2 linked regions of the Elephas maximus indicus genome follow. The protein of the gene in region 2 purifies or fractionates together with the protein of the main gene of each other region. This does not show direct contact. Links are inferred from orthologs where the notes say so. Each region holds a gene or a part of one and is shown on either strand. Other genes may lie near its edges.

Region 1 (7,741 bases), on a different chromosome or scaffold from region 2:
GACAAGAGCACTATAAGTGGTGAGACCCTTGTGCCAGCCCTTGTGGGACTTCCACTCCAAAGCATATGGATAATGCCCACATCACTCCCCTCTGCCCACATCACTCCCCTCCGCCCTTTTCTAATCCATACAGTGATTAGAAAGCATGGGCTTTGGAGTGAGGATTTACTAGGTTCAAATTCCACTCTCCTACTTAACTACTACCTGTCCAAATCCCATTAATCTAATCTCCTAAACCTACTCCCTCCACACCATCTTTGCCATCTCAGTAAACATCAGCTCCATGCTTCTACCTGCTGAGCTCAAATTCCTGGTCATCCTTGACTCTCTTTCTCACACTCCCCACAACCACCTGCAGCAAATCCTGCCAGCCCAACCTTCAAAATACCTCCAGAATCCAACCACTTCAAACCATCCTCACTGCCACCACCATCATTGCTTGCCTGGGCTGTGTCCCCCGGCTTCCACTCTCACCCCCTATAGCACAGATTTGAGAGTTAGATACCCTGAGTACAAATCCTAGATCTGCCATGCCCTAGCTGTGTGACCTTAGGCAAGTCATTTAACTTTGCTGGGCCACAGTTTCCTCATCTGTAAATAAGAATATAGCTAACATCTTACTAGCATTCATTAGGTAACAGGTCCCATGCGTTATTAACTAATTTATTCCTCACAACACTCTATTATCACCCCCATTTTACAGATCAGGTAAGTGAAGTACAGAGAGTTTGGGAAAGTAGCCCAAGGTTACACAGCCAGGATTGGAACCCAAGCAGGCTGGCTCTAGTCTTAACTATCCTTCACTAACCTCCTCTAGCAACAGTAACAGTTCCCACTTCACAGTTAGGGGAGTTAAATGAGTTTCTTAGGAAGTGGCTGGCACACTGAAAGTACTCAGTAACTGTTACCTATCATCATCTCCACTCCTGGGCTCAGCATCTAAGAAGTATTCTCAATCTTTGCAATTGGTTTGTCTTCCTAGGGAGGTGGGAAGAAAGACTTATTTGGGGATTCATTCTGGCTTCTGCCCCCTCAGAAAGCCACTTAGTTTCCCCACCTGTAAAATGGACATGAGACATCTTTTAGGATCGAAGGAGAAAATTCCGTTTGGAAAACAAATGCAGGCAGTGGGAGGCAGGAGGGCAAGAAGCCTACTCCCTTGAGACACTCCTCCCCGGCCCAGGATCACGGTCACCCCCAGACTCACACGAATCTTCTTGTAGTCACACAGGTACTCGACTTCAAAGTCATAAAGATTCCTCTTGGAGATACCGAGGGAAGGGCAGGAGAGCTTGGCCAGGCGGCACAGGTCCTGTAGCTGATTCCAAGAAGACTTGCAACACACGCTGCAGCCTGGAACAAGGGGGCAGGAAGAACTATTACTGGGTAGCCTGGCCAGGCACCCAAAAGGACCCCAAATCCTCCCTGGGACTTTCCAAGGACTGCCTCAGTCAGATTTAATCCACAGGCCTTTCCGAAAGCTGGGACCCTTCTATAACCAAAATGTGCCATTTCCTTGAACCCCAAGGCTCACTGCTCAAGGCTACCCCTGGAGCAGAGGTCCTCAAAGTCTGTCCTAAAGGAATCAATTCCCAGAGCTTCTAACTCCCTTACTATTTGTTAAAACTTCCAGCAAACCTGCCTAGAGTTCGGAATCTGAGCACCCTTCTCCTCACTTTACAAAAGAAAGGGAACAACCCCCCCATCTCAGTAGGATGCTCTAAGGGGAAGGTGGTGGGGGCGAGAATTAAAACCTCCAGGGCACAAAACAAAGGCAAAACTGGAAAGACTGGTCCACAATGTCTTATCTGAAAAGGCGGGGGGGGGGGGGGGGGGCAGATATGTTTAAAAAAAAATCTTTTTTTACAAATGTATTTCCATGTATCTACCATAACACCCCCAGTACTTAGGGTATCATGCCATAATCAAATGCATTAATATATCTACAGCAAAAGTAAGAATTTTCACATTAAATAGGAGAAATAAAAATGTAAAATAGTGGCACTGAATAGTTCTACCTTATAATCTAGTTTTGCCACTGAATGGTGCCCAATTTAAGAAAAAGATTTCAGTTTTCAGGATTTTTTAGATTTCAGAATTTTTAATAAATGTGGAATGGTAGATTACAGGCAACTTCCTTGAATGAGTAGTCTTGGTACCTTAAACCCCACTGCATTTTTTTCACATTGTGGTTTGACTTTCCCTGCTTCATCCACATTTCTGTGAAGGGTAAAGCTGGCCCAAATGGGTATGTTCTGAATTCAGGAATAGGCAAAGCAGTATATGTTTGTGATGATTCTTTTAAATATGCCTGGAATGTTTTCTGGGGCTACCAAAAATTTTTAGGACACACTGATTAAAAAAATAAAGATTTATATTTGATTCCACATTGTTTTAGAAGTCATTTTATCAAATCATTTCACAACACCTATTTTATAGTTTTTAAGTGTTTAACATTTTCTACCTCCCATTACAAAAATCAAGTTTATTTAAACTCACGATAAAGTATGTCAACCTAAAAATATACAAGAGCTTTTCAAAATTATTTCATGTACACTTCCCTCCTCCACTTAGGCAGGCCTAGACTCTTCAACTCTGTATCTCCCTTCCAGGCTCTGGGCCTAGGCCCAGGCTTTCCCCTCCCTGTGATGCCCTCTCCCTTCCAAACCCCTTAACTCGTATTCAAAACCCCCCATCTCAAGTGGTCCCAACTAACATCGCCAGCTGCTGGCTCCAGCATGCACTTGGCACTGACCTGGCTACACTCTCCTAGCCCTCAGAGGTCCCCCCACCCCCCACCGCCACACTTGTGGTCTCTCATCCTCCCCGCAGCTTTCCTCAGAGAGGAGCCCACTCCACCACCCTCCATACTGAGAAAATCACCCTTTCCCTGCACACTGGGGAATCCACTTCCCCCCATCCTGGGGGAGTCCACTCTACTCCAAACTCCTTCCCTGCTTACCCCTGAACAGTACCCTGTCCCCCCACTGAGTGGATCACTTAGCATCTATACCCAAGGGTCGGGCTCCCTCTCCTCCCTTTCCGGCATCTCGCGTGGGCACCAGGCGGGTAACGGTCACCGGCGGCCCATTTTCCCGCGCGCGGGTGCGGCCTCCCGGACGACCCCCTGCGCGTACGCGCGCCGGTCCAGTCGCGACCTGGAGCACGCGCTCCCACGCCCGCCCCATCCCGCGCCCGCCCTTCACCCCGCGCCGGCCACGTTCGGAGACACGCGCCCCTTCCCACAGCCCCGCCCAGCCCCGCGCACCAGGCCCGCGCTCCCCGAGCCCCATCCTTTCCACGCCAGGCTTCCAGCTGCCGGCTCCGTGGCCTCGGATGCCGGGCCCCTGAGCCCGCTGCGCCATCCCTCCAGCCCACCCCGGCCCTGCCAGCGAGCCTGCGCCGCTGCCGCCACCGCTTCACCTTTTAAATTTTCCGCCATCTTTCCCCACGGCTAACGACATTCGGGCCTACTCGGCCTCGCGAGAAGAGAGCTCGCGCGGGCGTGGCCGAGAACGCACAGCCTATTGGCCACGCCGCGCAGCGAGCGGCGCCCGCGCGGACCAACCGGCGAGCGTGACCGGACCCCTCCCCGCCACCCCACCGGTCCCGAAGGCGGGTGCTTGCCTTCGGTTTCCCAGAGTGCGCCTGGGCGGTGGCAGCGGCAGCACCGGTAGCTGGGGCTGCCGGAGGCCCTGCCTGTACGCGGGTCTGTCTGTCACGCTGTTAGCCAATCACGTTGTTAACAGTCGTAGAGGCGGATTCTCCGTCCTGTCAGACCCCCAGTTAGCACTGTCAATCAGCCAGTCGCCCAGTTCAGGTCACCACAGCTGTCTAGTCAGACACCCCACCCCCCTTACACCCTATCAGTCTGTCAGGGAGTAGCGGCATCCATTTGTGTCCTCAGGCCAGCTGCAATGCCCTCAACTCAGACTGCACTTACTACCAACTCCCCTTGTTAGCCAGCCTGACCGCTCCTTTACATTGTCAGTCAATTAGCCTGTCATACCACGTACCCTTGCCCTGGGACCTGGAGGAATCATCTCATACACCCCTCAGTAAGCCACAGCATCGGGCCATGCCCTTAGGCAGGCTGTGATTAGGTCAGGACAAGCTGTCATTTTCAGCATCTAACATAGCCCTGTCACCCTGTAATTCCCTCAGGTTGCTACTCATTCACACCATGATCAGCCAGTTAATCAGTCTTAACACCGAGCTAGGCCTTCAGAGCAAATAGTCACAGCGACTAATGGTACAATAGAGCCTCCACACTACCCGTCAATAGGTCAGCCAGTCTGTAATTTCTCAGGCTACTTATCCACACCATTGGCCGGTCAGTCAATCTCCTGTGACCCATTGGGCTCTATCAGGGAGCCTGTGATTCCATCAGGGCAAACAGTCCATAACCATGTACAGCCACCAAGTGAGGCAGTTATGCTAAGTTTTCAGATGGTCAGGCAGCCTGTGATTCCTTCAGTTGGTCCTTCATCATATTGTCAGTCAGCCGGTTCGTCATCCTCAGAATCCAACTGACCACACTGTCTGTCAGAGAGTCATTCAGTCAGAGCAACCATCCAGGCCCTCAAGCATGCTGTGGTTCACTCAAGATGAACAGTGTCTTAGTTCTCTAGTGCTGCGACAACAGAGATACCACAAGTGGATGGGTTTAACAAAGACATATTTGTTCTCTCACAGTCTAGTAGGCTAGAAGTCCAAATTCAGGATGCCAGCTCCAGGGAAAGGCTTTCTCTCTTTGTTGGCTCTGGAGGAAGGTCCTTGTCATCAATCTTTCCCTGGCCTAGGAGCTTCTCAGCACAAGAACCCTGGGTCCAAAGGACACACTATTCTCCTGGCTCTTGTTTCTTGGTGGCATGAGGTCCCCCTGTCTCTCTACTCGCTTCTGTCTTTTATATCTCAAAAGAGATTGACTCAAAAGAACCTAATCTTGTAGAATGAATCCTGCCTCATTAACATAACTGTCTCTAATCCTGCCTCATTAACATCATAGAGGTAGGATTTACAACACATAGGAAAATCACATCAGATGATGAAATGGTGGATAATTACACAGTATGTGAATCATGACCTAGCTAAATTGACATTTTGGGGGACACAATTCAATCCATAACAGTCAGTCACCATATATAGTAGCCTATCAGCCAAACCAAACCCATTGCCATCAAGTTGATTCTGACTCATAGGGAGCCAATAGGACAGAGTAGAACTGCCCCACAGGGTTTCCAAGGAACAGCTAGCTGGTGGATTCAAACTGCTGAACTTTTGGTTAGCAGCCGAGCTCTTAACCACTGCACCACCAGGGCTCCCATCAGCCAAAAGACCTCCATAAAGTTTTAAGAAGCAAAGATATCACTTTGACAACTAAGGTGTGCTTGACCCAGGCCATGGTCTTTTCAATCTCATATGCATGGAAAGGCTGGACAATTAAAAGGTAGACAGAAGAAGAATTGATGCATTCGAACTGTGATGTTGGCAAGGAATATCAAATACACTGTATACTGCCAGAAGAACAAACAAATCAGTCTTAGAAGAAATACAACCAGGATGAGACTCCGACTCACTTACTTTGGACATGTCATCCCAAAAAGCAGTCACTAGAAAAGGACATCATGGTTGAAAATAGAGGGTCAGTGAAAATGAAGGAAACCTTTAATGAAATGGACTGACACATAGCCACAACAATAGGCTCAAACACACCAATGATCATGAAGATGGCACAGGACCAGGCAATGTTTCATTCTGTTATACTTAAGGTTGTCATGACTTGGAGCCAACTCAATGGCAACTAACAATAACAACAACATCAGGCAACCACAGATTTGTTGATCAGTCAACCTGAAATTCAGCGTAGCCCTTCTTTACGCATCATCAGACTATAACATTTAGACATTCCCTCAGCCCTGTAACATCCTGCCTCCCAGTCCGGCAGCAACACCATCAGTCAGTTGGTCAGCCTGTAACTCTTTCAGGAGGCTCCTTGTCCTCCACACTGTCAGGCCACCAGCCCCAGCCAGGCCCAGGCGGGCTGTAAGTCAGTCAGATGTTCAGTACTTCACAGCATCAGGAAACCACATTGTCAGTTCCTCAAATTGCCCCTCTCCCTGTTGGTCCATGAGTTGCACAGTTAACCAAATGGTTATACAGTTAGCCAGTTATTCTGTCTTCCTGCTAGTCCAGCTGTGAGCTGATTGGAGGAATGGCTGGTCAGTCTGACGTTCTATCAGCCCCTCCTTACCATAAGTGTAACAGTCAAAAGCGTAATCCCACCAGGCATGCCCCTTCCCTCCTTTATTCTTTCTAGAACAGAGTCACATGCTGGTCCTCACGTGCCCCAGTCTCCTTGGGTGGCCTGGGCCATCCCACTTCCAGAGGCCTTGGAGACCTGCCCAACCCACAAGAGTGGTTTAAGGCATGACCTTTTTCCACCTGAATCTGGAGGGGAGCTATAGGGGTCTGCTAGTGATGAAGAGCTTCCTTTGGGCCTCTCCAAACAATATAATGTATCGGGTAAAGGCATGGATTCTGGAGCCAGACTGCCTGGGTTCAAATCCTGGCTCCACCACTTACTAAATTGTGTGACCTTATACAAGTTAACCCTATGGACTAGTTAACCCTTTGGGACTAGCACCTTTTCAGGAGACCTCAAAAGTAAGAGGTCATCCTAGTACTCCTGTGTCCTGCCTAAAGCCATTTGTCTGTTTGTTCAGCATTAATCCAGTGCCTCTTGTGTATATTGCCTCTCTTAGTGCTGAGGGCATAAGGTTTTATCCATTTTAAGCTGCACAGGTTGAACCTGTTTTTAATGTAAACCTCATGGTGAAGTGTAACACACATACAGAAGAGTACATAGACCATGGGAGAATGTCATGAAGAGTTTTTACAAGTGAATACGCATGTAGAACCAGAAGGCAGGTCAAGAAACAACATAACCAGCCAGGCCTCCAGAACTGTTTAATTTTTTAACATCTCTGAAATCAGCCTGTGTCTTACAAGCACTGTTGGGTCATAATTTAATTGGTAGGTTTTTTTTTTTTTTTTTTTTTTTTGCTTTTCTTAGTGATCCATAAAATAATGGTGTATTTTATAATTTTATAAATCAATGGTGAGTCAGAGTCAGTGAAATTCAGTAATAACAATAACAACCACAGCAACAATAGTGGCAGCTAATGTTTATAAATGCCTACAATGATCCAGACAGTTTGCAGACACCATCTACTTTAATTCTCAATACAGCCCTATGAGGTAAGCATTTTTATTTCTATTTTAAAGACTGAGGAAACTGGGGCCCAAAGAGGTCAAGTAACTCACCCACGGTCAATTCTTTCACCTCGAGTCTCTGCCTTCTCTAGCCCATGCTCAAGGGGATTCAGAGGTTGGGTGATGCCTTCCTATCCAAAGGTGGAGAAACGGCCCTAGCACCCAGCAGAAGGGAGATGTCTTGGAGCACTGGATTTCTAGGCTTTCTGCAGGGGTGGGGAGGGGGTAATTGATACCTGACAGGTCCTTTCTAGACTCAGTGCTCATGCTGGGAGCCTGGCTGGTTAGGGTGGGAGTGGAATAATGAAATATTTCAAAAATTAAAAGAAACCTGAGACACGCCCCCTCCTCCTCCTCAAGGGGAATTTCCCCTTACATGGTTCTGGGAGAATTTTTAAGGGGCAAAGCCAGCTCCCACTCCTGATATCTTATCCCCAATGCCCCCAATGTCTAGCTGGTTTCCTCC
Region 2 (7,742 bases):
CTTCTGGTGGGAATGCCAAATGGTACTACCATTTTGGAAAATAATATTGCACTTCCTTAAAAAACTAGACATAGAAATACTATACAATCCAGCAATCCCACTTTTAGGAATATACCCTAGAGAAATAAGAACCATCAAATGAAGAGACATGTGCACACCCATATTCACTGCAGCATTATTTACAATAGCAAAAAGATGGAAACAACCTAAGTGTTCATCAACAGATGAATGGATAAACAAACTATGGTACATACACACAATGGAATACTATGCAACAATAAAGAACAATGATGATTCTGAAACATCTCACAACACGGAGGAATCTGGAAGGCATATGCTGAGCGAAATAAGTCAATCACAAAAGGACAAATACTGTATGAGACCACTACTATAAAAATCTATGAAAAGGTTTACACATAGAAAGAAACAATCTTTGATGGTTACGAGGGAGGGTAGGGGTGGGAAGGGAAAAACACTAACTAGACAACAGGTAAGTGATAACTTTGGCGAAGAGTAAGACAGTACACAATACTGGGAAAGTCAGCACAACTTGATCAAGGTGAGGTCATAGGAGCTTCACAGACACATCCAAACTCCCAGAGGGAGCAAATTACTGGGCTGAGGGCTAGAGACCATGATCTCAGGGGACATCTAGCTCAATTGGCATAACAATTTATAAAGAAAATGTTCTACATTGTAACACACTTTATCAGCTATACCCAGTCCTCTCACATTCCAGCAATTACGTAGGCCTGCCCTTCCTGGCACTCTTGTGGTTGTTGTTGTTCTTAGGTACTGTTGAGTCACTTCCGACCTGTAGCGACCCACAGAACAAAACACTGCCTGGACCTGCGCCATCTTCACAATCATTGTTATGCTTGAGCCCATTGTTGCAGCTGCTGTGTCAGTCCACCTTGTTGAGGGTCTTTCTGTTTTTCCCTGGCCCCCTACTTTACCAAGCATGATGTCCTTCTCCAGGGACTTATCCCTCCTGGTAACATGTCCAAAGTACATGAGATGTAGCCTCGCCATCCTTGCTTCTAAGGAGAATTCTGGTTGTACTTCTTCCGAGATAGATTTGGTCATTCTTTTCCCAGGCCATGGTATATTCAGCATTCTTCACCAACACCACAATTCAAAGGCGTCAGTTCTTCTTTGCTCTTCCTTATTCATTGTTCAGCTTTCGCATGCATTTGGGGCAATTGAAAACACCATGGCTTAACTCAGGCGCACCTTAGTCTTCAGTGTGACATCTTTGCTTTTCAACACTCTAAAGAGGTCTTTTGCAGCAGATTTTTCCAGTGCAATAATGCGTCTTTTGATTTCTTGACTGCTGCTTCCATGAATGTTGATTGTGATTCCATGAATGTTGAATGTTGATTGTGGATCCAAGTAAAATGAAGTCCTTGACAACTTCAGCATTTTCTTTGTTTATCATGATGTTGCTTATTGGTCAAGTTGTAGGTGGTTTTGTTTTCTTAATGTTGAGGCATAATCCATGCTGAAGGCTGGGGTCTTCCATCTTCATCAGTAAGTGCTTCAAGTCCTCTTCACTTTTAGCAAGCAAGGTTGTGTCATCTGCATAACACAGGTTGTTAATGCATCTTTCTCCAGATTATTTGCTCAGCATACAGATTGAATAGGTATGGTGAAAAGATACGACCCTGACGCACAACTTTCCTGACTTTAAACCACACAGTATCACCGTGTTCTGTTCGAACGACTGCCTCTTGATCTGTCCACAGGTTCCTTATAAGCAAAACTAAGTGTTCTGGAATTCCCAGTTTGTCGTCCTGTGGGGGCTTGCATGTTGCTGTGATGCTGGAAGCTATGCCACCAGTATTCAAATACCAGCAGGGTCACCCATGGTGGACAGGATTCAGCTGAACTTCCAGACTAGGACAGACTAGGAAAAAGGACCCAGTGGTCTACCTCTGAAAACAATTAGCCAATGAAAACCTCATGAATAGCAGCAGAATATTGTCTGATATAGTGCTGGAAGACGAACCCTCCAGGTTGGAAAGCACTCAAAAGACAATTTGGGAAGAGCTGCATCCTCAAAGTAGAGTGGATCCTGATGATGTAGATGGAGTCAAGCTTTTGGGACCTTCATTTGCTAATGTGGCATGACTCAAAATGAGAAGAACAGCTGCAAACATCTATTAATAATTTGAAGATGGAATGTACGAATTATGAATCTAGGAAAACTGGAAAACATCAAAAATGAAATGGAACACATAAACATCGATATCCTAGGCATTAGTGAGCTGAAATGAACTGGTATTGGCCATTTTGAATCAGACAATCATATGATCTACTATACCAGGAATGGCAACTTGAAGAGGAATGGCATTGCATTCATTGTCTCTTGTGACTGGGTGGGGCCTTATGACTAGTTGGAGCCAATGAGTTGTAAATGAAAGTGATCTAAGTTACTTTAATTGCCATGTGAGGCCGTTGGTAACTCTCTCTCTTTGGCTTAGCTACACATCAGCCTGGGTCCCTGAGTGGCTACCATGAGCTGAGTTCCACAATATAACCTAGCCTATCCTGATACAAATATTATTTTACACACATCAAGTTCTTAAAAATTAAGTAGACAAATTAGATAGCAGACAAGACCTATTTTAGGTGAAGGAAAAGACAACACACAGGAGAGGTCAGCACAACTGAACTAAACCGAAAGCAAAGAAGTTTCCTGAATACAACAGAACACTTCAAAGGCCAGAGTAGCAGGGACAGGGATCTGGGAACCATGGTTTCAGAGGACATCTAGGTCAGGTGGCAGAACAAAATGTATTAAGAAAACACTCTGCATCCCACTTTGGTAAGTGGCGTCTGGGGTCTTAAATGCTGGCAAGCAGCCATGTAAGATGCATCAATGGGTCTCAACCCACCTGGAGCAAAGGAGAATAAAGAATACCAAAGATGCAAGGTAAATAAGAACCCAAGAGATAAAAAGGGCCACATAAACCAGAGACTCCATCAGCCTGAGATCAGAAGAACTAGATGGTGCCCAGCTATGACAGATAACTGCCCTGACAGGGAACACAACAGAGAATCCATGCTGGAGCAGAAGAAAAGTGGGATACAGACTTCAATTTCTCATAAAAAGACCTGAGTTAACGGTCTGACTGAGACTAGAGGGACCCCAGAGGCCATGGTCCCCAGACCTTTTGTTAGCCCAAGACTGGAACCATTCCTGAAGCCAACGCTTCAGACTGGGATTGGACTGGACTGTAAGCCAGAAAATGATACTGGTGAGGAGTGAGCTTCTTGGCTCAAGTAGACACATGAGGCTAAGTGGGCAGCTCTTGTCTGGAGGGGAGGTGAGAAGGCAGAGGGGCACAGGAGCTGGTTGAATGGACACTGGGAATACAGGGTGGAGAGGAAGAGTGCACTGTCTCATTAGCGGGAGAACAGCTAGGAGTACACAGCAACGTGTGTATGTTTTTGTATGAGAGACTCACTTGATTTGTAAAGCACAATTAAAAAAAATTAAGTAGAGAGTTAACATTCAGTTCTAATGAGAGTGGGGGGAAACAGGTACTTTCAAAAATTTGTTAGTAGAAGTATAAATTGTTACAACCTTTTGAAAAGTAATTTGACAAAAGATTCCTTTAAAATGAAAAATGTGCAAATCTTTTCACTCAGAGATAACGGTTTTGGGGAATTTATCCCACAGAAATAGAAGCTCTGGTGGCGTACAGGTTAAGGCAATCGACTAAGCGACAGCTCCGCCGTTTGAAGCCACCAGCGGTTCTGTGAGAGAAAGAAGTGGCAGTTGGCTTCCGCGTAGACAGCCTTGGAAACCCTATGGGGTTGCTATGAGTCCGTTTGATGGAAATGGGTATTATGCAGTTGTCAAAAAGACAAGTTTTATCTCTTTCATTGACTTCAAGCAATAGCCACACATTAAATGAAAACAAAAAATCCATATGCATGAAAGTTCATGTATAAGCCTAGAGAAAAAAGTTGTCTTATATCAAAGGAGCAGAGGTAGTAAATAAGGGGAGGGGAAATGATTATCACGTTTTTCTTATTACATCTGGATATCCTTTGATTTGTATGATTTACGTAATAAAATCAAGTAAAAGTAACAAATAATACCGAAACCTAAGATTGTTTGTCTACTGAGTCTTTACACAATAACCGTAGAATCACTGGCACCAGTGGAGGGTGGTGGGAGTGAAGGGTGGTAGAAGAGGCGGGGCTTCTTTAATACACTCCTGGCCACGCCTACTTTATCCGGCCACGGATTCTCACGTGTGCTCCGAAAGGCTCTGCCTTGACGCATGCGTAGTCGCCTAAGTCAGTCTCAGCCTCTTAGGGGCGCCCCGCGGCTTTGAATTTGACCCCATTAGGCTACCGTCGCGGTGACCGGAACGGCGCCTAAGGTTTGCTTCCGGGCGTCCCCTTTCCTCCCTCACGTTTCCTCCCCCTCCCCTGTTCTTCATTCCCTTCGTTTTCGTTCTTTCCTCTTCCCGTCCAGGCCGACCTGAGAGTGGTGAGTCTGGGGTCTGGTTGGTGAAAAAGAGCTTTTGCAGCTGGGAGCGGGGAGGTAGGGAATACTGTTAGTTGAGGTATCTAGGGACCAAAGGCTTGTCTGGAATGTTTTGTTTGTAGAAGGAGGTTGGGCGAAAGTAGGAAGGAAGTTTTCCCCGAGAGGCGACCGGGGGCGGGGTCGAGATGGGCCTATGGGTGGATGGGACGCCCCCTCTAAATTGGGTAGCTTGGGGGAGGGAGGGTCGGACGGGTGTGGTAAAAAAATGGAGGCACTGGGAACTGGCGTTGAGGTCGCACGGCTTATCTGACATCAGTCTTGTTTCTACCGTTTGATCGGAAAAACAGTTTAACGCCAATGTGAGTTTTTTGGATTGTGAACTTAAGATAGCCACATTTTATTCCCAAATTAATTTACTTCCTTTTACTTTAGGGGTACCTCTTTTTGCTGCAAGCTTTTGTGTGCTTAAGACTTTTTTTGTGGCGTTACAGACAGCGATCACATTTAGAAAGTAAATTTTCACACCGAAGCGAAGTAATATAAGGGAGACAAGTAGTTAAAAGAGAAAACACCGCAAAGTGCGTTACAGAGCAAAGCCCCCTCCCCAGGTGGGGATATTTGTTCAAATTAGGGATAAGATGTAGGCATAGATCTATCTCATTAGTCGATTAAGAAACCAATTGGCTCACAGAAATTATTTTCCTATGTAGATTGATTCTCTTCAGTTTGCTAAAACATTTTCATTGGTTCTCCACTGCATAAGAATCAGGTAAAACTTCTTAAGCCTTGCAAGGCATTCTAATTTGGCTCCAATTTAGCTTTTCAGTTTATCTCACCACTACCTGTGTTTTACCCAAAACATCCAAAGTTCTTGAAATACTCTCATAGTTTTCCCCCACCTGGAATGTCCCCCAACTGAATTTTCAAGTTCTGTTTCAAGTATCCTATAACAACCAGCTTGCAAAATTATGTTAGAAGCCTTGTAAAAAAGAACAACATAAATGTAACCAGTTCCTAACTTCTGGTAACACACTGACGTGAAATGCACGTACAGAATAGAATTTTTTACAGACGCTAGAAAATAAGCATTATTATGTCATATGTGAATTGTAAGGTAAGATGCCTATGTAGCCTATGGGACTGTGTTTTCCACGCTTTTCAATCTGAAATCTTATTCAGGCCTGTTAGTGTATAGCATAGGCTGAGAACTCTACGAAATCTCAGCATCAAATTCTGGAGAATGGGGAAAGAGAACATAGAATCAAATTTAAATAGCAGGTAACAGAGTAGGAATGAGTTTTATTAGGGGAGTGAAATTTCCTACTGATTGTAGTTACAATGACCCCAAGGGTAATTCTGTTCTATTCAGAGGACATCAGCATGTCCTCCATTCCTGAGTGCGTCGGTTTGGAGGCAGCAACTGCTGCAGTGGAGTCTGAAGAGATTGCAGAGCTGCAGCAGGCTGTGGTTGAGGAGCTAGGCATCTCTATGGAGGAACTTCGGCAGTTCATTGATGAAGAACTGGAAAAGATGGACTGCGTACAGCAGCGCAAGAAGCAGCTAGCAGAATTGGAGACCTGGGTAATACAGAAGGAATCTGAGGTGGCCCATGTTGATCAGCTCTTTGATGATGCATCCAGGTGAGGACTATACAGAAACTAAAAGGAAATCTCTTCATTGCAGGCATTTTTAATGTATAATTGGTCACGACATCGTGCAAAGCACTTTGTACTTTATAAAGTACAAATGTGTAGGACCCTATTCTTCCTCATAGTTTATGGTTCAGAATCAGACTTCACAACCACCATACATAGACTACCCATTTATCAGAGCTTCACATGTGATCAGCAGTAGGGGAGTCCATGTCTTGAGTCCCTTTTCTCTTTCCCCATTCTACTTCATAATCCTACTTTGTTTCCCTAATAAAATCATTTAGGGAATCAAAATCGTAAAGAGTTACTTGCTGTCTTATGTAGTTGTAGAGCATTAATAAACTTGAAAAACCCTATATCTGCTCCTAAACCCCCAGAAGATTTGTTTATGGTGCCCTAGTTGTTACCTAAAACACATTTTCAAATAACAATAAGCTAATTAATGAGGTACGGTTGAAAGGACTATGCTCTGGGCTTATTTTGGATATTTGAGGAACTAGTCTGGAAACCAGACCACCATTTAAAACATTTTTCTATGGGAAAAGCATGTTAAATTCTAAACAGCAGAATTTACAATTATATAGCGTATGGTTTAAATTGAGGACAGTCTACACTTATATATAAATTTTAATGGTTCCTTCACCTACTTCGGAAACTCTGGTGGCGTAGTAGTTAAGTGCTATGGTTGCTAACCAAAAGGTCGGCAGTTCGAATCTGCCAGCCGCTCTTTGGAAACTTTATGGGGTAGTTCTATTCTGTCCTATAGGATCGCTATGAGTCGGAATCGACTGAACAGCAGTGGGTTTGGTTTTGGTTTTTTTTTTTTTTGACACCTACTTCATCTGCTGGTTTTGACCTTCTTTTCCACATGTGTTCCAATTAGGGCAGTGACTAATTGTGAGTCTTTGGTGAAGGACTTCTACTCCAAGCTGGGACTACAATACCGGGAAAGTAGCTCTGAGGATGAAGCTTCTCGGCCTACAGAAATAATCGAGATTCCTGATGAAGATGATGATGTACTCAGTATTGATTCAGGTAAGGGATAAGGCTTTGGATAGAAAAGTCTCGAACTGGAAGATGAGCAGATGGAAGATAAGAAAGGGGAAACCAGAGTCACCAACTTGATATTTTGAACTGCCTGACCTATTAGTATCATAGATGTCCCCTCTTTGTTACTCCTCAGTTGGCATCAACCTTCTTTCCCAATTCTTTGTAACCTCTGTTCTGAATTCCCTTGCGTTTCTTCAGAAGTGGCATCACCAGCTATGTATGTATCCCACAACAATAGGTTCTTTGGCTTAGTCAATTTTTTGACTTTTTCATTAAAGTATAATTTATGTACCATAAAATTCACTGATTTTAAGTGTGTGGTTTGAGTTTTAGTAAATTTATACAGTTGTGCAACCTTTACCACAGTCCAGTTGTAGAACACTTGCGTCATCCCAAAAATGTTCCCTTGTGCTTTTTTATCGCCAGTCTCCATTGCCACCTCCATCAACAACTGATCTACTTTGTCTCTGTAGTTTTGCCTTTTCTAGAAATTTCATATAAATGGAATCATACGGTCTTTTGTATCTGACTTCTGT

What was found. The genes of interacting proteins can lie anywhere in the genome.
Region 1: the proteins of SETDB1 (region 2) and SUV39H1 purify together in Homo sapiens (affinity purification with mass spectrometry; 3 studies listed by BioGRID and IntAct, counting the BioPlex papers as one, with this or other methods). This does not show direct contact. The link is inferred for Elephas maximus indicus from reciprocal best matches to the Homo sapiens genes SETDB1 and SUV39H1.

The regions. Positions count from the first base shown.
Region 1 is NC_064846.1:122,905,806-122,913,546, reverse strand, and holds the start of SUV39H1 (histone-lysine N-methyltransferase SUV39H1), read right to left. Parts: upstream 3,352-7,741; 5' UTR 3,294-3,351; coding exon 3,269-3,293; intron 1,354-3,268; coding exon 1,208-1,353; intron 1-1,207. UniProt on the Homo sapiens protein: Histone methyltransferase that specifically trimethylates 'Lys-9' of histone H3 using monomethylated H3 'Lys-9' as substrate. Also weakly methylates histone H1 (in vitro).
Region 2 is NC_064821.1:184,996,700-185,004,441, forward strand, and holds the start of SETDB1 (histone-lysine N-methyltransferase SETDB1), read left to right. Parts: upstream 1-4,310; 5' UTR 4,311-4,397; intron 4,398-4,403; exon of another isoform or gene 4,404-4,507; intron 4,508-4,764; exon of another isoform or gene 4,765-4,863; intron 4,864-5,873; 5' UTR 5,874-5,884; coding exon 5,885-6,144; intron 6,145-7,039; coding exon 7,040-7,191; intron 7,192-7,742. UniProt on the Homo sapiens protein: Histone methyltransferase that specifically trimethylates 'Lys-9' of histone H3. H3 'Lys-9' trimethylation represents a specific tag for epigenetic transcriptional repression by recruiting HP1 (CBX1, CBX3 and/or CBX5) proteins to methylated histones.